Linked DNA regions of Alligator mississippiensis. The protein of the gene in region 3 purifies or fractionates together with the protein of the main gene of each other region. This does not show direct contact. Links are inferred from orthologs where the notes say so. Each region holds a gene or a part of one and is shown on either strand. Other genes may lie near its edges. The genes, in order: EBNA1BP2, FTSJ3 and SRPK3.

What was found.
Region 1: the proteins of SRPK3 (region 3) and EBNA1BP2 purify together in Homo sapiens (affinity purification with mass spectrometry; 3 studies listed by BioGRID and IntAct, with this or other methods). This does not show direct contact. The link is inferred for Alligator mississippiensis from reciprocal best matches to the Homo sapiens genes SRPK3 and EBNA1BP2.
Region 2: the proteins of SRPK3 (region 3) and FTSJ3 purify together in Homo sapiens (affinity purification with mass spectrometry; 3 studies listed by BioGRID and IntAct, with this or other methods). This does not show direct contact. The link is inferred for Alligator mississippiensis from reciprocal best matches to the Homo sapiens genes SRPK3 and FTSJ3.

What each region holds. Positions count from the first base shown.
Region 1 is NC_081828.1:241,448-249,187, forward strand, and holds the start of EBNA1BP2 (probable rRNA-processing protein EBP2), read right to left. Parts: upstream 3,091-7,740; coding exon 2,999-3,090; intron 2,729-2,998; coding exon 2,662-2,728; intron 2,203-2,661; coding exon 2,119-2,202; intron 141-2,118; coding exon 1-140. Other genes in the region: CFAP57 (cilia- and flagella-associated protein 57), read left to right, coding at 3,089-3,404, 3,918-4,234, 5,698-5,984, 6,175-6,382. UniProt on the Homo sapiens protein: Required for the processing of the 27S pre-rRNA.
Region 2 is NC_081827.1:170,095,953-170,103,118, forward strand, and holds the start of FTSJ3 (pre-rRNA 2'-O-ribose RNA methyltransferase FTSJ3), read right to left. Parts: upstream 3,069-7,166; 5' UTR 2,980-3,068; intron 1,720-2,979; 5' UTR 1,630-1,719; coding exon 1,563-1,629; intron 1,222-1,562; coding exon 1,116-1,221; intron 106-1,115; coding exon 59-105; intron 1-58. Other genes in the region: PSMC5 (26S proteasome regulatory subunit 8), read left to right, coding at 3,488-3,526, 5,147-5,218, 6,960-7,029.
Region 3 is NC_081831.1:28,600,336-28,607,990, reverse strand, and holds the start of SRPK3 (SRSF protein kinase 3), read right to left. Parts: upstream 3,088-7,655; 5' UTR 3,038-3,087; coding exon 2,874-3,037; intron 2,782-2,873; coding exon 2,703-2,781; intron 1,728-2,702; coding exon of another isoform or gene 1,721-1,727; coding exon 1,597-1,720; intron 228-1,596; coding exon 119-227; intron 1-118. Other genes in the region: PLXNB3 (plexin-B3), read right to left, coding at 3,384-3,488, 3,716-3,787, 4,117-4,192, 4,390-4,454, 4,974-5,124, 6,072-6,232, 7,258-7,427. UniProt on the Homo sapiens protein: Serine/arginine-rich protein-specific kinase which specifically phosphorylates its substrates at serine residues located in regions rich in arginine/serine dipeptides, known as RS domains.

The DNA.
Region 1 (7,740 bases), on a different chromosome or scaffold from region 3:
TCAGGGTCAGGAGAAGCTTTGTCAGGTGTTTGACTCAAGGTGGGACTTGTGAAGTTTGATGCCTGAGCCAGAGTCACATCTAGCCTTTCCACCCACTCGAGGTGCCGCATGAATTCAGACAGGCACTGCTTCAAGCCATCCTGGAAAAGAGAACAAGGTTCTGTTAACAGCAAGACACAAAACAGACACCTCCTTCCTCAGATAGCAAATCTAAATGCTTTTGTCATATGTGGCCCTGCCTTCTGAGGACGTGGCTCAGCCCCTCAGTGCATAATGTTGGCTGCTTCCTCAGGTGATGAGCATCGAGACAGACAAAGAGAGTCTTGTTAAACTTAGATTAAGAAAGCAGGAAAACTACAACAAGAGAGACATAATCAGAGGGGCCAGATTTAGGTTGAAATTTGAACGGGCATATTGTTTTAATAAACTAAGCTCAAGAGAGGTTGCTGTTAAACTGAAGAGTCCAGATACAGGTTGAGAACCCAGCAGAGAAACAGAGACAGGAACCAAATACAGTTCACATGTGATTTAACTGAGGGACAGGGTGATTGTTTTTGACATGTGAGAAAAGAAAGAGCAAGGAAGGAATCTAATAACATCAAGGCAACTTTAGATTGATGAAAGAAGTTAACGCGCAACATGCCCAATACTGTTTTGGGGAACTCAGATATTACCTTTCTAATATTATAAAAGCCCAAGTCTGTCCGTCTGTCTGTCCATAACGCTTTGTTTGCGCTCTGATTAGCTGTTTCTGTCAGCCAATCAGAGTGCTCCAAATGTGGGGGAGGCCACCTGATTCCAAAGCTGCGCCAAGGACCGGACAGAGGGTGGGGGAGCCAGGGCCAGCAGTGCTGGCCTTGGCTCCCCATCCCACTTCCTGCATGAGGCAGAACAGCAGCAGCATGGGCGTTAGGTGGCATGCCAGCCCCCACCCCCATCATTCTTGATGGGCAATTGGCTAGTTAAGAATATAATGGCCATAAAAAGGCAAGCACATGATTCTGTGACAGCTGTGGAAAGCACAAGGGGGAACTGAGGCAGGACTGTATACCAAGTAGCCAGCAACTCTTTTCAACTGATCTGATAAAATAGACTAAGTTTGTCTTGCAACTCTTGTTTCTCTCACCTTCTGAGTGTACATTTTGGAGCAGAGTGGCTCCACTGGCATCTGCCTTTTTCTATTTCTTCCCTTGGTAGCATCTGCTGATCACCTGGGGGTGTATGGGTGTGGTCCCACAGGAAAGGCTGGGTTGCAGGCAGTGGCCCCAGTGACACAAGGTTTCCAACCCCTGATTTAGCTTGTTGTGGAGTTTCTCTTCTGGTAAGATACTAGAAACTAAGTGCAGACAGTGTGTGCGCGCCACACTGATTTAGCACATCCCACAGGCTTCCTCCAGAAAGCATTCTAGCACATCTTACACTGGTGCGAATGAGAGCAGTGCTTCCTAGGCAACTGTATTATGGAGTAACAACATTCACACAGTAATTAGGATGGGCTCCTAATGAAAGCTCATCATCCAATATTCAGTCCCCAGCTAAACAATAACAAGTGTCACATAACAACTTAAAATCAGCAGGTTAGTCCTATGGCAACAATAAAACATTTTCTGCAAAATCTGAAACAAACCCGGTACTCTGCAGACCAGAGCCAAGCTGTGGGACTTAACCTCTTAACATCTAATCCAATCCAGAAAACAGAACCTCTACAGAACCTGTTATAAGCAGAGCTCTAACAATTTGCAAAGGTCCTCGCAGGCCATGAAATACTGAAAGCAGATCTCACCGCTCTACACAAGCAGCTAAAGTCAATGAGCACCTCCGCGCAACGCCAGTGAACACAGTCGATTCACAGCTCAATTTCAGACTAACACAGCTAATCACGTCCATTTGCAGGAGAAGAGGGCTATGGGGCCAGCAGCACCACCTCTACCACAAACACCAGCCTTTGTCACTACACAGCTCTGCAGTGGCTCCCAGAAACATCTCTGAGGCTCCTAATGAACTAAACCTTAAGGGCTTCTCATTTACAATCTCTGACTCCTTTGTGTAACCACAGGCAAGAGCCCAACCTCCCCAGGCAAACGCCTCACACCAAGAGCTGCAAGGCATGGTACTCACCACGTTGTTCAGGGCCTTCTTTTTCCCTTCAAGCACAAGGTTCAGCCCAGGTTTCAGGGCACCCCTGGAAAATGCTTCCTGGAGCTGTAGGGAAGAAGAGTGGTCAGGTCCCCCAGCATCTTAAAAGGAAGGTGGGCTGTGTCCCTTGCCTAGGGTCTGACAATCTGGACAGACCAAAGGACCCTTCAGTCAGCAGTGCTGAGTCCACTCATCCATACAAGTCCACGCCTCTCCGAGCGGGGTGCCAGAGCAAAGACAAGACGTGGGGAGGCCACACACCACACTAACAGCCGAGGCAAAAACACCAGGTGCTAGCGTATTGCAAGCTGCAACGCGGCATGCTCGGTCCCTCTGTCCAGGGCCACACCACAGGCCCCAGCTGAGAACGACTAGGGCACGAGCGAGTCGTGGTGTCCCAGAGCGTTACCACCACTCTTGACTTCCTAGTCTCTGGGGTACTCAGCCTGGGGAACCCCTTGCCCACTTCCTTTCTGGGGCGGCAGGGAGCAATCCTGCACGCACTGCTCAGCACGAGGCGCTTACCTCTCTGTCGGTGACGAGGGATTCCTCCGACTCCGATCCGGACTGATCCTCGAAGTCTGCCATGGCCCTGGGGAGAAGACACGGGGGACGTGCTCTGGCTCGCTCCGCTTCTCACAGCAAGCCCACCCTGGCCCCAGGGGCGGGGCGGGGGAGAGGCCGACAAACTGCCCTCCTGGCCCGAAGACCGAGGCGGGTCCGCGAGGAGCTGGAGCACCGCGCGCAGAGGGTGTGCAGGGCCCCCCCGCGGGGAAGAGCCGCCAAGGCCGCAGCGGCTTCCCCGGGGCGCAAGGCTCGAACACGACGGGAACCCCGGAGTTTAGGCCGCCGCCGCGCTCACCTCGTGCCGCCGCCGCCACTTCCGGCCTGACCCCGCGCGCTGTTTCCCTTCCGGGTCACGCTGCAACCGCGCTTCCGTTGCCCCGTCTCCATGACGACCGGCGCGGCGCGGCAGAGGCCGGGGCTGGCCGGGCGCGATGTCGGCGATCGTGGCGCAGCCGCTGCACGTGTTCGGGCTGCGGCCCGGCGTGGCGAGCAACGTCTGCTTCTTCGACGAGCAGATCATCATCTACCCCGCGGGCAGCGGCTGCGTGCAGTACCACGTGGAGCAGCACTGGCAGAAGCTCATCCCCGGTACCAGCCCGCCCCGCCCCGCCCCGCCCCGGCCGGCAGGGAGGCACGCGGCGCTCGCCGCCGGGCCGTGGCGCAGAGCCGGGCCTGCCGGGGCCGCCCGGGCGGAGCACGCGGTACACGCCGGGAGGCTGCTCCGGGCTGCAGGGACCGCGGCTGAGTCTGCGGCAGCCGCTGACTACCGCCCCCCCCGCCCCCGGTCTGACGCTGTCGGCGGCTCTGAGGGAAGCGCCCCCCGCCAGCCCGGGGCGGGGCGGCTGTGGCTGGCCCAGCCCCGACCCCGACCCCGGCCCCGGCCCGGGCCTGCGATGGGCGGAGGGCGTTGCGTGCGCCGCCGAGCGGGCTGGCCGGGCCCCGGCGCGGGTGCCCGTCTCGGCGGCGGCCTGGGCGCGGCCCTCCCTCGCGGCGGGTTCCCGCGGGGGGCGGGGCTTGCGCTGCAGGACGTGCGTGTTCGAGAAGGGTCGTGACCCCGGGACGTCTGGCTGCCGGGGGGGCAGGGGAAACGCCTCGGAGGCTGGTGGCAGAGGGTCTCGGTCACAAGAGACCTCTGCTTTTCTTTTTACGATTCTCTGCCCCCCGACCTGTTTCGGGCTTTTAACAGTCGCTCTCGTTCCCTTTCTGCTTTCTAGGGTCTGAAAAAAGTCAGGGGATGTTGGCACTGGCCATAAGTCCAAACCGGCGCTACCTGGCCATCTCTGAGATGGTACAAGAGAAGCCTACTATCACTATCTATGAATTGTCATCTGTCCCATGCAAAAAGCGGAAAGTATTGAATTCATTTGATTTCCCTGTTGAGCAATTTCTCAGCCTGGCATTTTCTCCTGATTCTAAGTATCTAGTTGCTCAGACAGGACCCCCTGAATCCAACCTTGCCTACTGGATGTGGGAGAAGCAGAGACTGATGGCAATTGTCAGAGCTGACACCCAGAACAACCCCGTGTACCAGGTAGGGTGCAGGGGAGGCCGGGGCGGAGACAAATCGCTCTGAGAGAACACCTGTTGCAATCAAGCATGATCTTGTAACGGAAACTCCCTTCCCAAGACGTGGGAGGAGAGCAACAATATTTTCCAGAAAAGGATGCATACTAAGATAATTTCCCTGCGGTAATTGAAGCGAGGCAGCATTTTCTCTCCTGAAAGAAATGCTAACATTAAAAAAAATAAGAAAAGCATTAACATTTATTTGAAAGGCAAAGATATTTGGGTGGGGGTTTTTTACTGGCCCAAGTACATGGTCGAGAGAGGTTTTTTTTAGACAGGCTTCCTCATCACTTTGTTTCAAAGCTTGTCTAAAATGCATGAGCATTTACACACACACACACACACACACACACAGGAGAGAGAGACTTGCTGCTTTAAAATTGCTGATTTCTCAAATCTGAAAACAATTATGAGCAAAATTGATTAGGAAAAAATATAAGCATTAAAAAAGGGATAAGTGGGAAACTGACTTCTTCCACTGCAGATTCATTCATACACCTGGTGTATTATATCACATTTTGGGCACTATACTTCAAGAAAGATGTAAATAAATAGGGAAGAGTCCAGAGGAGAGTAACAAAAATGATTAGAGGTATAGAAAACATGATTTACAAGACAAGTTTGGAAGAACAGGAATTATTTATTTCTGGAAAGGGAAAACAGAAGAGAGATTTGATAGCAATCTTCACAAAGGGTTGTTGTAGAAAGGATGATGATCAGTTGCTGTCTAGGACCACTGGGGGCAAAATTCCAATATAATAAAAGGCTCTGTCTCTCTGTCCATAATGTGTTTAGCCAACTGTGCATGCGCTGCCAAGAGGGCAAGCAGCAATTGGCTGCATGGCCTGGGCTGTGCAGGCCTGTTTGCGCTGCTGCTGCAGAAGTCTGGCAGCAGGGAACAGCTTCCCCCCACCCTCCCTGCCTGCGGGTGAAAGAGGGGATCACAGCGGTGCCCACCCCCCCTGCTGCCCAGTCTGGATGCCCCCCAGAACAGCCAGCAGGGACGAGGCGGCAGTGGGGAGGCAGGTTGCTGCAGGCCAGGCGGACCTGGAGCGGCAGGGGGAGGAAATAGGGGTGGGGTAGGACCCCAAGTGGGAGGGGGGAAGGGGGGAGCGAGGACCTCTGGCTGGTCCTCGGCGCATCTTCAGAATCGTGGCGGTGCTCCCCCACGCTTGGAGCACCCTGTTTGGCTGTTTCTGTCAGCCAATCAGAGCACAAAAAAAGCCTTACAGACAGACAGGCAGACAGACAGACTTAGGTTTTTATAATATGAGAATTGCCCTAAAGTCTCTGACATTTTTTTGTCATTCTTGATTTTTATAAGATAATAAAGTTTTTAGGATAGAGATCATGCATTTTTGCTTGTTTGTAAAGTATTGGTATAAGCATAGTTACTGAAAAGTAATTCCTCTCCCTCCTGCTTTCCAGGTGAGCTTCAATCCCCAAGATAACACTCAGATTTGTATCACTGGGAATGGCATTTTTAAACTTTTCAGATATATAGAAGGAGCCTTGAAACAGACTAACTTTCAAAGGGGAGAGCCACAAAACTACTTGTCCCATGCCTGGCTCTCTGAGGAAAGGGTTATAGTTGGCAGTGATATGGGCAAACTCTTTCTTTTTGAATCTGGAGATCTGCGCTGGGAGACAAATATCGAGTGTAAAAAATCTCCCAGTGAAATCGAAAAGGATGAGCTGCCCAAAGACTCTGAGAGGTATGTTTTTGTGATAATTACTGACAGGGTCCAGCCCATGAGTAAAGATCTTTTGCAGCAGGAAGTGATCTATATAGATGTTAACTGGAAAAACCTTTAGCATCAGTGCTTGCCTTCACTGCCCTGCTGGTAATTATGTGCTTCTCTGGTTGCTGCTGAACTATAATTTTCTTTCTTTTTTTTTTCCTAGTCTCCTTGAATTTGTTACTGGCAGTTCCCCAGATCTTGCCAATGAAATGGTCCTTGAAGGTGATGTCCCACAGCAGGTTTCACTGCCTCGTATCTCTGCCATTGCAGTTTATTCCAAAGGCTTTGCATGCTCAGCTGGGTCAGGAGTTGTTCTGCTGTTTGAGAAGATTGAAGATAAAGAAGGTTATAGGGAGATCCGAGAAATACGGGTAGGTAAGAAACTGAGGTTACAGGTCTTAAACAGGCCACAGCTGTTCCATCTGTAAGCTCCTTTGTTTCACGTGTGTTCCACATAAAAGCTCAGCAGGTCTTCCAGCCACTCTACAAATGTCACCTAATCATAGTTCTGTTGAAAGCCTGGCCAGCATTTACATAGGGGGAAGTGACTAGTCCAAAGTGGCATGCAGTGTCAGTGATGGTCATTCTCTTTCAAGGTAACTTCTCTATGTTTCCCTTTGTGCAACTGGCACCCATGGCACTGCTGAAATTCAGACACCTTTTAAGAAATCTGTCTTGGCTCAATGTCTAGTTGGCAGCTGTATCAAGTGGAGTGCCCCAGGGGTCAGTCCTAGGGCTGGTTTTGTTCCATGTCTTCATCAACAACCTGGAAGATGGAATAGAGTGCACCCTCAGCAAGTTTGCAGATGACACCAAGCTGGGGGGAGTAGTAGATACGCTGAAGGGTAGGGCTAGGTTTCAGAGTGACCTAGACAAATTGGAGGATTGGGCCAAAAGAAATCTCATGAGGTTCAACAAGGACAAATACAAAGTCCTGCACTTAGGACAGAACAATCATAGGCACCGGTACAGGCTGGGGACTGACTGGCTGGGCAGCAGCTCTGTAGAAAAGGACCTGGGGGTTACAGTGGACAGTAAACTGAATATGACCCAGCAGTGTGCCCTCGTTGCCAAGAAGGCTAACATCATCCTGGGTTGCATTGGTAGATATGTTGCCAGCAGGGCCCGGGAAGTGATTATTCCCTTCTATTCAGCAGTGGTGAGGCCATATCTGGGGTACTGTGTTCATTTTTGGGCACCCCACTACAAAAAGGATGTGGACAAATTGAAGAGAGTCCAGTGGAGGGCAACAAAAATGGTGAGGAGGTTGAGCGACATGACTTATGAAGAAAGACTGAGGGAACTGGGCTTATTTAAGTTAGAGAAGAGAGGACTGAGGGGGGATTTAATAGGAGCCTTCAACTACCTGAAGGGGGTTTGAAAGAGGATAGAGCTGGATTGTTTTCAGTGGTGTCAGATGATAGAACAAAGAGCAATAGTATAAAGTTACAGCAAGGGAGGTTTAGGTTAGATATTAGGAAGAATTTTCTCACTAGGAGGGTAGTAAAGCACTGGAACAGGCTACCCAGAGAGGTGGTGGAAGCTCCATCCTTGGAGGTTTTTAAAACCAGGCTAGACAAAGCCTTGGCTGGGATGATGTAGTTGGGGCTGGTCCTGCTTTGAGCAGGGGGTTGGACTAGATGTGACCTCCCAAGGTCTCTTCCAACCTTAACTTTCTGTGAGTCTATAGTTGGAACTGCATGGATTCCTACAGTTGAGGATAAGAGGA
Region 2 (7,166 bases), on a different chromosome or scaffold from region 3:
CATCTTGCCCCTGCTTCCCCCCCCCAAGCCAGTACACAGGCTCCCCCACATCACTCACCGATAATGAGGCTGGAAACTGGCATAAATTTGGAGGCCACTTGCAGCCTGTGGAGAGCAGAAAGGGTCAGAAAGCCTCACTTGGTACCATAACCTGCTGCATGAAGGCTCTTCTCACCCTCCATCTCAAAGAAGATGAGCTGCATGTAATTAACTTCAGCACCCAGCACACACCCTGTGACCCCCACCCAGGAGGGCCTGTCTGAGCACACACCTCTCAGAAAAGGAAATGGAGCTACATTCCCAGTGGCTAAGAAGGGCATAAGGCCCAGAGGGGCTCCCAAGTGTCACCCTTCACTGGCTGGCATAGGACAAACTGAATGTCCATGACAGAGAACAGATCCCAGCAGGGAACCGCTGTTCACTGCAAGGTGATGCCACTCCAAACCATACTACTTTGGCTGAAGACAAGTTGTTCCAGAGGGGCTGCACATGTGCAGAGCCACAGGGAGACAAGGCCTCCACCTTTGGGAACACTGTGCGAACAGGCATTACTGCAGAGTGCACAGGGGCCACCTGGACCAGTGCCTCCCAGTACAGGCTAGGATTCCAAAAAGCCCACAGCTTGCCAGCGACTAACTGCTCTTGGAGCTGACCTCTCCAAGCAGCTTGCTGAGGCACCCTGGGCATGACATCTCCAGCTCCCTTGTAGTCTGAGCCAGAGGCAGTACTGAGCTAAGACTTGCCAGGGAAGTCCCCTAACTGTAGGCTACAACCCATGTCCATCGGTACTTTGAACCTGCCAGCAGGCTGCAAACGCACAAAGCTGTTTGCAAGTCAGGGGAATGGACAAGGCTTGTTCCTGCCTAGAGAACAATGAGCCACTCAATTTCTGCTCATGACTTGGTTGCCCAGATTCTCAGGCAGTCAGGGCTGCAAATCAACCTGAGCACAGATAGTTTGGACCAAGAACCATGTGGGCCAGGCTCTGGGTTTTTCCAGGACCCTGATCAGCCTGGGGCTTGGATGTGAGCAAGCTGGCTGTAGTTCCCACCAGCTAGCCAGGACACTCCTGTATCTCACAATCCAGTGGCAAACAGGGGGGCCCTCTCACTCACCATCCCCCAGGGGCTGCACACAAGTCCACCAGTGCCCGGGCTTTCTGCAGGAACTGGAACTTCCGGTTGAGCTGAATCAGCTTGAAAGAGGATCGGGAGCGAAACCCTAAAGGAAGAAAGGGTGGGGGGGGGAAAAAAAAAAAAAAAATCAGAGCCCTCCCAAGAGCCTGGGATATCCCAATCAGACACTCTGCAGCAACAAGGGGTAGGAGAGGTCAATCAGTGCCCATTGCTTACTCTGAAGCAGCCACCGCACTGCAGGCACAAGGAGTACAAAAAGATGGCCAACATGGAAGTAACAGTGACTTGGGCAGGCAGGCAGGGGGCCATGGCCTGACCTGGCCTGCCACCAAGGAAACGCAGAGGTCCTGGTGGGCAGTCATGCCAAGGGAGATCCACCAGCACAACTCCACAGACAGACAGGGCCAGCTTCCTATCCCCACTCACCAGTTTCCTTTGCCAGATGGTAGAACTTGTCCCGTCGGCTCTTCCCAACTTTGCCTTTCTTGCCCATGTTGGTGGGTGAATGAGTTTGTGCCGGGGCTCACCTCAGGGATACAGGGTGATCCCTGTGACCAGTGCCAGGAAGCAATGGAAATGTCTTCTGCAGAGAAAGGAAAGGCAGCAGCTGAAGACAGGTAAAATAGCCCCATATTGACTTTGAGTGCCCCAAAGACCTCAGAAGCAGGACAATCACTGCAACACCTCATCTGTGCTGGGGGGAAGGGAGCACAGGCCTGAACTACATATTAGAGAGGGAATAATCACATCACTCTACCCACAGCCCCACATCCTGCCCCTGAAGCTAAACTTACCCCCAACCACACCATGAGAAACCTTCAGGTGCACTGAATCTTATAGCAGGACTACAGAATACCATCATACCACTCATTAACAGGATACACACAGGTCTCTTTCACGTTTTACCACCAACTCCAAGGGAAACCCCATGCAGAGTCTGCCAGTCCCCTATGGCACTAGCAGCTGAAGACAGCTGGCACCACATCATCCCAGCTGCTAAAGTAAAAAAAACCTCCAACCCCACTTGGTGCTTCTTTCATTTGCCATCTGCTGCCTGTATTGCAGTCATTAGACAGAAGGAACCTCTCATTAAACTAAAGGCCCCCTCAAAAATTGCCATCTCTCAGTGTTCACTTTTTTTTTTTTTTTTTTTACTACAGAGAAATACTGGAACAATTATTCTGTTGCAAAGAACTGGGAACATCTTCAATGGAAAAGAATGGTTTTAACTCATGGGTTCCTGCTTAAAATGCCTGGGTTTACCCTGCAAATCACATTTATGCATCTAATAGTGCTAACCTTGCCACCCAGGGCAACCATGAAAGGACCTCAAGGCCACAGCCCCTATCCAAACACCCCAGACAGTCAGAACTAGATGCCGACTGGCCAGAACAGAAAGGAAAGCAAGCCGAGCTCAGAGCAGCAGAGCAAACCTCAGGACAGAGCCAACCGGGCCTGCTGGAGCCGGAGGATGTGGGCATGGCATCTCTAGCACTAAACCTTTCCCTTATGAACGCCTCTCCTTACCCCTATACTTATAATCTGCCCCAGCCCCCAGCTGCTCCCCGGCCACGCCCTGCCCCTCAACTCTTCCCCCACACCCCAAGGAGAGACATGGCAGGGGAGCTGCCAGACAACCTCAAAGGCGGGGAGGCGGCTTCACTCCCCGCTTCCTCCCGGATTCTCCTCTTGCATCAGGACCACCGACCCCAGCTAGGTCAGTCCACCCAACCGCACCATACCCCAGGCGGGCAGGCCTCAAGGCAGCGGGGCTGGGGCAGTCCAGACCCTGCAGGAGACTGGGAAGTTCAGAGCCCGACTGACCAGTCCCAATCGCACTCACCAGCACCCAGACAGCAGCCCCAGCTCCCACGTGCGCGCCCTGCGCTTCCGCCGGCAGGCCGGCGATCAGATGCACTTCCGCTTCCGGTACAAACTTCTCCCTCCGTCAGCTTGAGAGTGGCGCCCAGCCGCTGCCCGGCTTCGACCTCGCGCGGGGAAGTCGGAGTGGGAGCACACCCTGTGTGCAGAAAGCGGGCTGAGGTTCTCAGTGGGAGACTGCCTTTCCGTCTAGGCCTTACAGCAGACCCTACCAAGGTGGCGGCTGACAAGGAACGGCGGGCACAGGACGAGCGATCAACAACAAAGCTGTCCCACCGCGCATGTGCGCCCGGAGAACGCATCACTCAGTGTTTTCTTTCAGGCGCCCGCCCACTCGCGGACAGGAAGTGGCGTAAGCGGATGTTTCGCCCTTTGCGCGTGCGCACCGCGGCAAGGGAAGTGAGGACCGTGGCCATTTCTGGTGTGGGCAACCGCTCGGGCCTTCATTGCCGCTCCAGTGAGCTGCTTCAATGCCGGCCGAGAAGATGGCGGTGGACGGGCCTGAGCAGGTGAGGCCGCGCAGGGCCGAGCCGCACCGCAACACGGCGGGGGCTGCCGCGTCCTGCCCCCGAGGCCGGGGAGGAGCGGGCGGCTGCGGGGCCGGGCCGGGCGGTGCTGAGTCAGGGCGGTCGGTGCGAGGGGCAGCACCGCGCGGCCCCCGCCCCGTGCCAGGCCCGCGGGGCTCCCGGGAAGACGTCCCGCTTTTAGCGCTCGGGCCCCGACAGCCGGCACGTTTGTAGCGCGCTCGGGCCCGACAAGCGTGTTACACTCGCGGAGCGCTCGGCGCGGCCCCGGCCTGCAGACGGGACAGTCACGGCGCACGCGCGGGCCTGACAGACGTGACATTCGTGGCACAATTCAGGCCCCCCCCCACCCCCCGTAGGACCCGGCCCTGCCTTCCCTTCCCGGTCAGTGGGGCCGAGCAGCCACACGTCCTCCCAGGGCAGCAGTGCTCAACCCCGTCACCTCCCCACCCAGATGCACATGCCCCATCCAGTGTGCGGGGCCAGCTTGCCCGCGGGTCTGTGAATTTGGCGGCTGGGGAGCTGCATTTAACACTGCCAGCGCCACCACCACGCAGTGGGGAGCCCAGCGGGCCGCGTGGCGTGACTCTGTGGGCCAGGGGTTGCACAGCCCTGATGTATGGCAGTGATTGTCAGCCGGGTGCTGCGCCACCCTGGGGGGCCTTGGGCTCCGGTCGGGGTGCAACGAGGCACTGTTAGGTGTGTGAAGAGAATTGACAAGATAAACCCAAAGATTTCCCATAGGAAACCGTGTCCTCCCATTTGCGCTCTTTCTGAGCTCTTTCCCAGTAGAAAAATTGCTCAGTTGTTTGCCTGTTACCAAAAATGGGTGAAAAGCAAGCTGGTGTTTTCCCAGGGGTGCCTGGAGTCTAACAAGGTTGAGAACCACTGATCTAGGGTGCACTGTGGCATATGACACCTTCAAGCCTGCTTTGTTCAGCACTATATTTTAACCGTGGGACATGTCCCTGCGAGGGCGTGTAGCCCCTTTGTGGCAGCAAACTCCATCCCCTTGGCACTGAGACTGTCAATTGCCCCCGCCAGGAAATGGGGCCCTGGCAGCCTGCTCCAGCTGTCACTCTGTGGAGCCCTGAAGCTCCCTTTCCCCAAGCCCCTAATGCTCCCTTCGTCCTGCTTTTCCCATTTTCCTCATCTTCCACCTTCCTCCAAACCCCTTCCCAGTTCGATGCCAGGCCTGGGGGCTACTTTTCCTGCCTTGCTTTCCCCCTGTGCTGCTGTGCCAGGGACAAAACAGTCCCCTGGGGGAGGTAGAGAGCACCCTGGCATTAGCGGGCTCTGCTCTCTCCCCTGTCCCATGGACATGCTGGCAGGGCCATTGGGTCCTCACTTGGACATAGGTGGGGTGTCCTGTTTGAAAGGGGGCACCTGGGCATACATGGAGCAGAGGAACAGTTGGGGGAGGGTTTCGGAGACTGTATCTGTCCCATGGGTGTGTTACTGTGTGGTGGGACCTGCCACCTCCAGGCACAGCTCTTTTTGGAACAAACCTCTCCACTTCCTGCTGTGAGTCTGGCCTTTTTCTGTCAGGCTGTTTGAGGTGCTTTCCTGGGCTGACATGCATGTTCTGTCATGTTTTCCTGGCAGATGGAGATGGATGAAGGCAAAGGAGGGACAGGCCTCCGCCAGTACTACCTGTCGAAGATCGAGGAGCTGCAGGTGAGCTGCAGGGGTCATGTTTTCACTAGTTCGTGTTTTCTGCAGCAGGGACCCTGCTGTCCCTCTGCTCTTTTTGTATAGCACTTCCAACTAGCCCAGCTCCTGCCCCTTTCCCCCCCTGCCAATGGGGCTGGAGGCTCAGGACCACTCCTATCCTATCCTGGCAGCAGGCAGCCTCAGCACCTCAGCAGGCAGCACCAGGAGCGCCTCCCTGGGGGAGGAGTTTCCACTTGGCAATAACCCTTTGAAGTGAGCTGACCTGCTGTCCAGGAAGGTAGTCTAGTTCAGTGCAAAGCAGTGCTACCTCAGGCTGGTGGGGAGGGTAGTGAGTGGCCAAATCCAAGGGCCTTAGCCAAGTGCCCATGAATTGTTTGGCAGAGGTGTCCCTGCCCCAGTGATGTGACCTACCAAAACCTCCAAAGCCAGTGGCTTGCACATGAAGGGCTGTGGCCTGCAAGTTAGGGCGAGTCCTTCCCAGCTGTTGTGCCAGGCTGGTTTCCAGGACAAGGCTCTGGCAAGAGCTGGGCAGAGAGTGCAAGAGCCGTTGTGCTGGACCTGAGGAGCCTCCCCTTGAGAAGGACCTAGGGTGGGTAAAAATCAATGTTTCCATTGTTCTTCTAGATCCTGGTGCACACCCCTTATATACTTACAGGTTGCTGCCAAGTTCCCCCTGAGCCTTCTTTCTCCAGGCTGTAGAGTCCCATGTCCCTCCGCCTCTCTTTGTAAGGCTTGCTGTCTTGGCCTTTGATCATGAGAGAACATCCTTGTTAACAGCAGTATATAGAAATGAGAGGAAACAGACCTGATTACCTACCCATGTCCCTATTGTTTCTCTGCAAGTTTGTGTATACAGAACCAAGCCCTTACCTCTCCCTAAAAGTGCAAATTTTCAAGTAGTAAAATGAATAGACGATTGTTGGGGGTGGAGTAGATCTGGGCAAGGAGGAGGAGTCTAGAAATGAATGCAAGGAGAAAGGGGCAATAGAAACAAAAGAGAAACATTTTGAGCAGAATATTCCAGAAGTCTTGAGGAGTAAGTTTCGGAGTATAGCTTCTCCACTGATTTGAGATCTATTGAGGTAATGGTATGGTAGCAGGGAAGACCTATCGTGACAGCAAGCTTGTCAGGCTGTAAAAGAGAAGGAATCAAAGATGAGAAGAAATCTCGAAGAAAGTGAAGAAAGCCCCAAGCTAATAACATGGCTGCAGCCCTCATTTGATGTCTTCCTAATACAGCGTGGCAAAAATATCCCCCAAATATCCATGATCTAGTGAATTGGAGATTAGTTCACCTCCCAATGACTTCACAGGCATTTGCTTCAATTAGCTTTGAAATCATAATTCAGTTTTCTGAAAAAATGTCAAAATAATTCACTGCTTTAACATTTATAGTGTGTACCTTCTAAAAATGAAACCTACATCTGTCTCTGAGTTGTAATATGTATTAAGCCTACATCAAACAAGAAGGCACTTTTTGTAGAAAATAATTAAAACAAGGCTTCCTGCTCAGTGATTTAAATCAATTTGATTTAAATCAAATCCACCCTGAGAAGGACCCCTTTAACTTGCTCTTCCTGTGGGGGAGCTATTTGTGTCCAGACTGGTCACACACAGGCTCCTGCTGGCAGCTTCAATGGAGGTATCGGTATCATCTGAGCTGCTGCGCTCTAGTGGAGGCACCTGAGCAGGGCTGACTCTTTTGGGCTGGTAAAGGCTTATACCTTGTCCTTCCTCTCCAAAGCTGATTGTGAATGAGAAGAGCCAGAATCTCCGCCGTCTGCAAGCGCAAAGGAATGAGCTGAATGCCAAAGGTATGGGTTTCTTTGACTTTCCCTTTCCAGATACTGGGGAACTGCCTCCCACCAGGCTCTCTGCATTGTCTCCCACTTGATAATATTGAAAGTGAAATCCCTGGTGAACTGAGACCCAACACAGAGTTTTGTTGCAT
Region 3 (7,655 bases):
CCGCCCCATGACCCTCCCCCTCTTCAGCCTCCATCCCCAGCCTAGAGTTCACTTCGCCCACCACCCAGGCCCCCATAGCCCCACCCATTCTCTAGGCTCCACCCCCAGCCCTGCTCACCGGATATCCCAGCAGAGCCAGACGGTGGAGAAGTGGCCCCAGCCCAGCTTGCGCACCACATGGTAGCGACCATGGAACAGGTCCCCTATCTGCACCGGGTAGTACCCGCCTGGGGGGCATGGGGTGGGGGGGGATGACTGACACCCCTCCCCAGCTGAGTAGTAGTACAATCTGGGCTGTATTCCACACCCCCCCCTAACTGCCAGCCACTGCATGTGGCTGCATCCACCTGTCCTGTGCCATGCCCCCCTTCATCCTCATAGTACAGCACCCTCCAAACCCTCCACCCCAATTCCTATGCTATAACCCCCCCACTGCTTGAAGTGGCACAGCCCAGTCTACCCCATAGGAATATTGGTATCTCCCGTCTTTCTCTGCTCTCTACAGCCCAGTTATATGAGAGACCCTGGTCTTCTCTTATAAAAAAAATTGCATATTCTCTGACAAAAACCCCAAAATCCATTACCGTAATCCCCCAAAGCCCCCTGCAGCACCCCCCCCAGCCCTGCTGGTGCTCCTCACTGCCCCCAAAGCCCCCCAATACTACCAGTGCCCCTCACTTCCCCCACAACAGCCCCCCCACCTTACTCGTGCTTCTTGCCCCGCCAGCCCTGCGGGAGGGGCCCACAAATGCCAGGGCTATGAGGCCAGGGAACCAAGTCTGCAGCTCCCTGCCCCCAACAGCAGGCAGCTGCAGCAAAAGCAGCATGGAGCCAGCTCTCCCACTGCTCTGCCTGCTTGGGTGTGGGCGGGCCTGGCTCCTGGCTCCCTCCAGCCCCGCCAGGGCCCCCAGCCATGACCTGCAACCCCCTCCCCACCCCTGTCCTGCCAGAGGGGCCCCCAATCCCTTGCAAGACCCACTTACCACACAGGCTCTAGAAAAGTGAGACTGAACTGAGCAGAGCAGAGCCCTGGCAGGCTGAGCGCCTCAGGCCCCGCCCTTCCCCCTCCCCCTCTGGGCAGGGCTGGGGGTTTCCCACCCTGTTTGCAAACAGCTTTTGCAGGCTGGAGCTCAGCCAGTCTGCAGAGCTGTTCGCAAAAGCAGGGAATCCACCAGTTCCTCTGCTAAAAGGAGAAATCCATATTTTCTCTGATGAAAAGAGGAAATCTGTGGTTTTCTCCATTTTTCTGTGGGAAATGGAAAACCCAGATCCCTGTACTCCACCCATCCCCCACACAATCACAGTGGAACATCCCAATACCCCAATTTTCCCCCTCCCACAACCATAGTGGTACCTCCCAGCCCCCCTGCCACATTCCCCCATGGTACAGCACACTTGGTGCCAACTCTCCCCCCTCCCCCACACACACACACTGTTATCTCCCAGCTTTTCCTCTCCCTTATAAACATGGTACAGCCCACCCCATATCCTCACCATCACAGTGGTTCCTCCCTGCCCCATATTTCTCCTCCCAACTGGGCACTTCCCACCTCAGGCCCCCTCTGGGCACAGTGATACCCCCCCCCACCCCTCCACCTCTGCAGTAGTCTGCGGGGTCCTCCTGTTCCTCATCATCTGAGCCCAGAGGCCCTGCCCCCACCAGGCATGGGAGGGGTGGGGCCCAGGGTGGAGTGGTGCCACGCGGCTTCGGTGCTGGCTCCTGTGTGCTGGGGAGGAGGGAAGGGGTGAGAGACCAGACTCTAACATGGGCACCCAGGGGTGGGGAGCAGAGCTAGATATAACAGGGACCCATATGCACTGAGTATCAGGGAGGGGTCTGTCCATGCAGCTGAGTCTGGGGGGCCAGCGCAACCAAGTATAATAGAGACCTGGATGCTGCTGAGTCTGGGGTGTGACTGGACTGGATATAACAGGGACCTTTCAGTGAAGTTGAGTCTCGAGCTTGTCTAGGTGAGTATAACAGGGGTTTCTCAATGCAGCCGAGTCTGAGCATTGCTGTATACAACAGGGACCAGGATGCAGTGGAGTCTGTAGGGGGCCACAGCTGGGCTTAACAGGGGTCTCTCCATGCAGCTGATCATGGGGGTATGGCCAACTATATAACAGGGAGACCTGGAGGCAGTTGTCTGGCATGGGGGACATGGGTGGGTATAATAGGAGTCTCTTGACCCAGATAAGACTGAGCAGACCAGGGTATAACAAGGACCCCTCGCTACAGCTGTGTGGGGTCAGGAACAACTGGGTATAACAGGGATCTCTCAATGCAGCTGAATCTGGGGGACACAGCCAAATAGAACACAGAACCCCAGCATGGAGTTGAGTCTGGGGTAGGTCGGGTATAATGGGGGTCTTCCGCCCACCACACCTGGGCAGAAGCAGAGTCGCAGTGCATGCTGAGATGCCCACATCCCGATATAGCCATCACCTCACCCCCCACCTGCGTCAGGGGTTAAAAATAACCCTGGGCTGGGGCAGCTGCTGCAGAAGGCAGCTCAGGAATGTGTGTGAGGGGGAGGGGACCCAGGAACCCCTCAAAAGCTGAAGGGGCTACCCCCCCACACCGGGCTAGAAGGGGGTACAGGGGTCCCCCTGTTATATGCAACCTCTCCCCCACTCCCGAGCCAGCTGCCTTTCCCCATTGTGCCCCTCACTCCTGACCTGCAGCCCCCCGCCCCACTCACCCTGGGAGCGCTGCCCCCTTTGCCCCTTTTTCCTTCTTGTGCCGCTTCTTCCCCTTCTTGCCCTGGGCACTGCCTGCACCTGGGGGGGGCAGGGGCAGGTTTGGGGGGGGGTGTCCCAAGCTGGGGAGACCCCCCTGCCCCACCTTCTGCTTCCCTCTCCCCCGCGCTTACCCTTCTTGCTGCTCATGGTACCCCCCCCAACGTTCTGCTGGGGCCGTCCGGAGAGTCTGCGCATGCGCTGCCCCCACCATGGGGAGGGAAACAGCGAAGACCGGCCCGGGATAGGCGGGGAGGAGGGGTACTGAAACGAGGGCGGGGTTAGGGGTGATGGGCATGGCGAACGCGGGCTGGCGGGGCTAGTCCCTCATAAAACACCTCCGCCCAAGTTTCGGGTGGAGGGAGAGAGGAGGAAACAGCCCTCCCCATATTACGCGTGGGAACCCCCATAATCAAGGGCAATCTCCCCTTCAGCCCCGCCCCCCACTTCCATGATACCCCCCACCTTTCCCTAATGGACGAGTCGCAGCCGCTGGGTCCAATCAGGAGTATTCTTTATTCTACGTCATATAACTCGCCCCCATCCCAGGCTGGGGGGGCTCGGCTCGCCGCCCCAGGTTAGTGTGGGTTAGACACCCCCGAGGGGGAGGGGCTGCCCGGTAACATCAGGCACTAGGGGCGGGCTCATAGGTCCGTGACCTTGTTGTCCAGCAGCGCGGCCGCCTGCTGCAGCCGCGCCCCGAGCTGCTGCTTCTGCCCCGCCGGCTCCGCCTCCAGCGCTGCCACCAGCTGTGGAGGGACAGAGGCAGGGATCAGGGCCCCGCTCTCCTCCCGGAGACCCCAGGCACCCGGGCTCCCACCCCCCTGCTCCACCGCTCCAAGGAACCCAGGCGTCCGGGCTCTCCCTTTTCCTGCCGCAGAGCCCAAGCTTCCAGGACTCCTAGTTTGAATGGAGAACCCAACAGTCCAGGCCCCGGGCTCCCAAACTCCCTCCTGGAACCCAGGCACCCGGGTACCTGGTCGTGGCACAGGCGCACGTACTCGTACAGCTCTAGCAGCGCCCCCGAGCAGTCCAGATCCACCGACAGCTGCAATGTGGGAGGAAGGAATGGAGCTCAGACGTTCGGGAGTCGCCCACAACACCCCCCCCCCCCAGACCCCTCCCTTGGCAGACAGAGAACCCAGGCATCCGTGCTGTGCTGGGTGGGGGGCGCTTTGGGGCAGAAGCCCCAGCTAGGGTCAGAGGGTGCCTGGGAGGTTGGTGGCCCCCAGGGACCAATGGCAGGGTAGGGAGATGCCAGGGGGTTTGAGGGTTCCAGGGGTGGGGGTATTTTGGGGAGGGTGTGGGGAGGAAGGGTGTTGAGAGAACCCAAGGAGCAGTAATACAGGGTTTAGGAGGATGCTGGGGCATCCATACTTGAGACATTTTGGTCAGTGCTGCGTTCATCTCCTGGTACGTGACTGGTGGAGCCTGGCGAACCTCGGCATAGTACCTGGTGGGGATGGCGTAAGAGAACCCAGGTGTCTGGGCTCCCAGCCCCCCTTCCCACAGAAAGCCCTGGCTCCAGTCTCCCCTCCCAAACTCCCTGCTCTTTTACAGCTGGGGTGGAACCCAGGCAATCCTGGCCCTCAGGCCCCCCACCACACTCAGGCATCTTCACAGGGGACCCAGGTCTCTGGGGGCACTCACCTGTCCACGAGCTCTCGATACCGTGGAATCTCACGGGCATAGAGCAGCTTGTTCACAGGGGAGTCCTGGGAGGGGGAGGGTGTAAAGGGGGGAAGGATACCTGGGTGACTGGGAGGCATGTCCCAGACGTCCGGGTTTCTCCTATATGACAGAGATCAGGTCTGGACACCTAGGGCCCTGTTGTGGGGTGGGGGGCGCTGTGGGGCAGGAGCCAGGGCCAGACAGTAGGGGAGGGAATTGGAGGCATGTCCTGGATGCCTGGGTCCCTCCTTTGTGGCAGGGGTCAGTCTCGGATGTCTGGGCCCCTTTGGGGGAGGAGGGGGGTGTCACATCCTGGACACCTGGGTCCCTGAGTGGGGTGGGGCAAATAGTGGGGATGGAAGTGGCCGCAATCGCCGGGATCTGGTGGAGAGGTTGGAAGCATCCCGGACACCTGGCTTCCTTTGGAAGGACCAGGTCCTGAATGCCTGGGTCGCTGTGGAGATTGGCCCTGGATTCCTGGGCCTCTTGGACAGGCTGGAAGCACCACTGGGTCCTTGGGCGGGTTGGGGAGGGAGGGTGGCCCCAGACGCCTGGGTCCTCACCCGTCCCACTTGGTGCTGGGCGGGAGCAGCGCAGGCATCCATAAGCGTCTGGGCCACGACCCCGAGACTCGCATCGACGCTTGGCGGGACACGCACGTCCAGCAGCATCCGTGGGTCACGTACGACCCGCACCCAGAACCGCAGCAGCAGACTGCAGGGGGTAAGGTCAGAGCAGGCCACACCCTCTGAACAGCCCCCAGTAGGCTGCTGGGTGGCCGGGAGTCAAGAGGGGGCATAGCCACAAGTAGCAAGAGCCTATGTCAGGCTGGAGGGGCAGGGATGGGGTGGGGCCATGGCCAGGCCCCACCCCACATGCGGACCCCTGCTGCCTGTAACAGGGTCAGAGGCAGGGAAGGGGTCAGGAGTGTAGTCAGACCCCACCCCTTGTGACCCTGCCCCTGTGTGCTCCCCACCAGTCCCAGCTTCTGGATCCCCTCCCCTTGCCCCCACCTCATTTCCCAGCTGCCTAGGCTGTAGAGTGTGGCCACCCCCCATTCTCCCACCTTCCCACTTCTGCCCCCTGGGGTCCCCCCATACCTCCTGCCTGCCCCCCCCCCATCTTCCAGGCTCTCCACATTTACCTCCTCAGGACAGAGTCCCCATGTCCCTAAAAGCTCTCCACTCCCCCACTTCTAGCCCCCCCCATGTTCTCCCACATGCTTCAGAGCGTGGCCAGACCCACACATGACCTACTACCTATTTTGCCCCCACAAGCCTCCCCCATGCCATCTCCTCCAGATCTACCCCCGGGTCCCAAAGTGCGCCCCCTGCCCCAGTTCTGCTCTGCTCAGGGCCCCCATGCCCCCTGAAGCCCCCTCCCCACATGCTCTCCAGGGTCTGGAGACCAGGACCTTCCATACCCTCCTGCTCCCCCAGTTCTGCACCCTCAAAACCAGCCATGACCCCTAATACCCCCTCAACATGCTCTTTCAGGCTCTGGGGAGTGACCAGGACCTGCCCCATACCCTCTCACCCACTCCCAGTTCTGCCTTTCTAGGATCCCCCATTCCCACTGATACTCCCCACTCCTGCCCTCCTCAGAGCCCCCATGCCCCAGCAAGATCTGCCCCATGCATCCCCCAGATCCATCCCACCCACCTGTTGTTCTTCCAGCTGCGCAGGGTGTCAGGCTCAGCCAGGCCATGCCGTGCTGCCAGCTCATCCAGCAGGTCAAAGAGGAACTTGACAGGCAGGGGTGGGGGGCACCCAACTGGCAGGATAACCCGCAGTGCCCCCTCCACAAATGGGTGAAGCATGCCCTGTGGGTGGGGGCAGTCAGCACCTCTCTGCCTCCTGAAACAACCCTCCTTCCCGCCATGGATCCCATTCTGTGGAGGGCAGCAGCGTGCAGGGAGAGAACCAAGGTGCCTGGCTCCCAGCCCCCAGAAAATGCAGGTGTCCAGGCTCCCAGCACCCTCCCAGAGAATCCAGGCTCCCAGCTCACCTGGCAGCCCCAATTCCCCTCCCAGAGAACCTAGGCACCTGGGATCCTTTCCCCTCACCCAGGCCCCATCCAGAGAACCTAGGCATCTGAGACCCTGTTCTCTGATCCAGCCCCTGCCTAGAGAGCACAGGTACCTGAGCTCCCAGCCCCCCTTGCTCACTCTCCAGGCCCACTCTCCTCACAGAGAACCCAAGAGCAGGAGGATGAGCTAGACCTTAGGGGTAGCTGTGGTAGGCTCTGGGGTGCAGGGGGTCCCCTGAGGATCCCCCACTTTAGTAGAGAGCCCACAACTAAGATTTAGGGTGGCTATGGTGGGTTTTGGGATACAGGGGAATCTGGGGAGCCCTGGGGGGGAGAGGAGCAGTTTGGGGGGGGGGGCCCTCATCTTGGAGAAGAGCAGACTTGGTGTAGATCTTGGGAGTGGTTATGGTGGGATTTGGGGTGCAGCAGAAGTCTGGGGGTTAGAGAGTTGGTTTATGGGTGTGGGGTTGTTAGAGGAGTGCAAGGGAATTTGGGAGGTTGCTGGGGGGGTGAAGGGCTGATTTTGGGATGTGGGGGTTTGGGGGCTCTTAGGGGATGCAAGGCGGGTCTGAGGGTTCTGGGAGGTGGAGGGGTGGTTGGAGATACAGGGGTCCCCTAGGGTGTCCCTAACCTTGCAAGAGGGCAGATTGATGAAGCAGATCTTTGAGGGGACATGGCAGGTTTTGAGGTGAAGTGGGGGTCTGGAAGTTCCTGAGGGGTTGAAGCTTCATTTTGGCTGCAAGGGGAGTCTAGAGGTTCCTGGGAGGGTAGAGGAGTTTTGTGGGGGTGCTAAGTCCCCATGGGGGAGGGATCCCTCACCTTGGTAGAGAGTAGGCGGGTGAGGTAGATCTCAGGGATAGCCGTGGCCCCCTCCCGTTCCCGACTCCCATGTCGTGCCACCTGCCCAGGCCCCTCCAGCTCCTCTGGGGGCTTCTCTAGGTGCCAGAGGTGGATACCCCCCTCCTCACCATCTTCCAGTGTCGGTGCATCTGGGGGGGAGAGGGGCCTGAGCAACACCCCAGACTTCCCTCCCCTGGGAACTCCCTTGACTCAGTCCAGGCCCCCCCCCCCGCGCAACATCCCATTGGTTCAATCCTGAAAATCCCCCACTTCTCCCCATTAGTTCAGTCTAGAACTTCTCCCCACATTCCATTGGTTCATTCCTGGATCTCCTGAACATTCCCATTGATTCAGTCCAAGACCTCTTCCCCCCACAG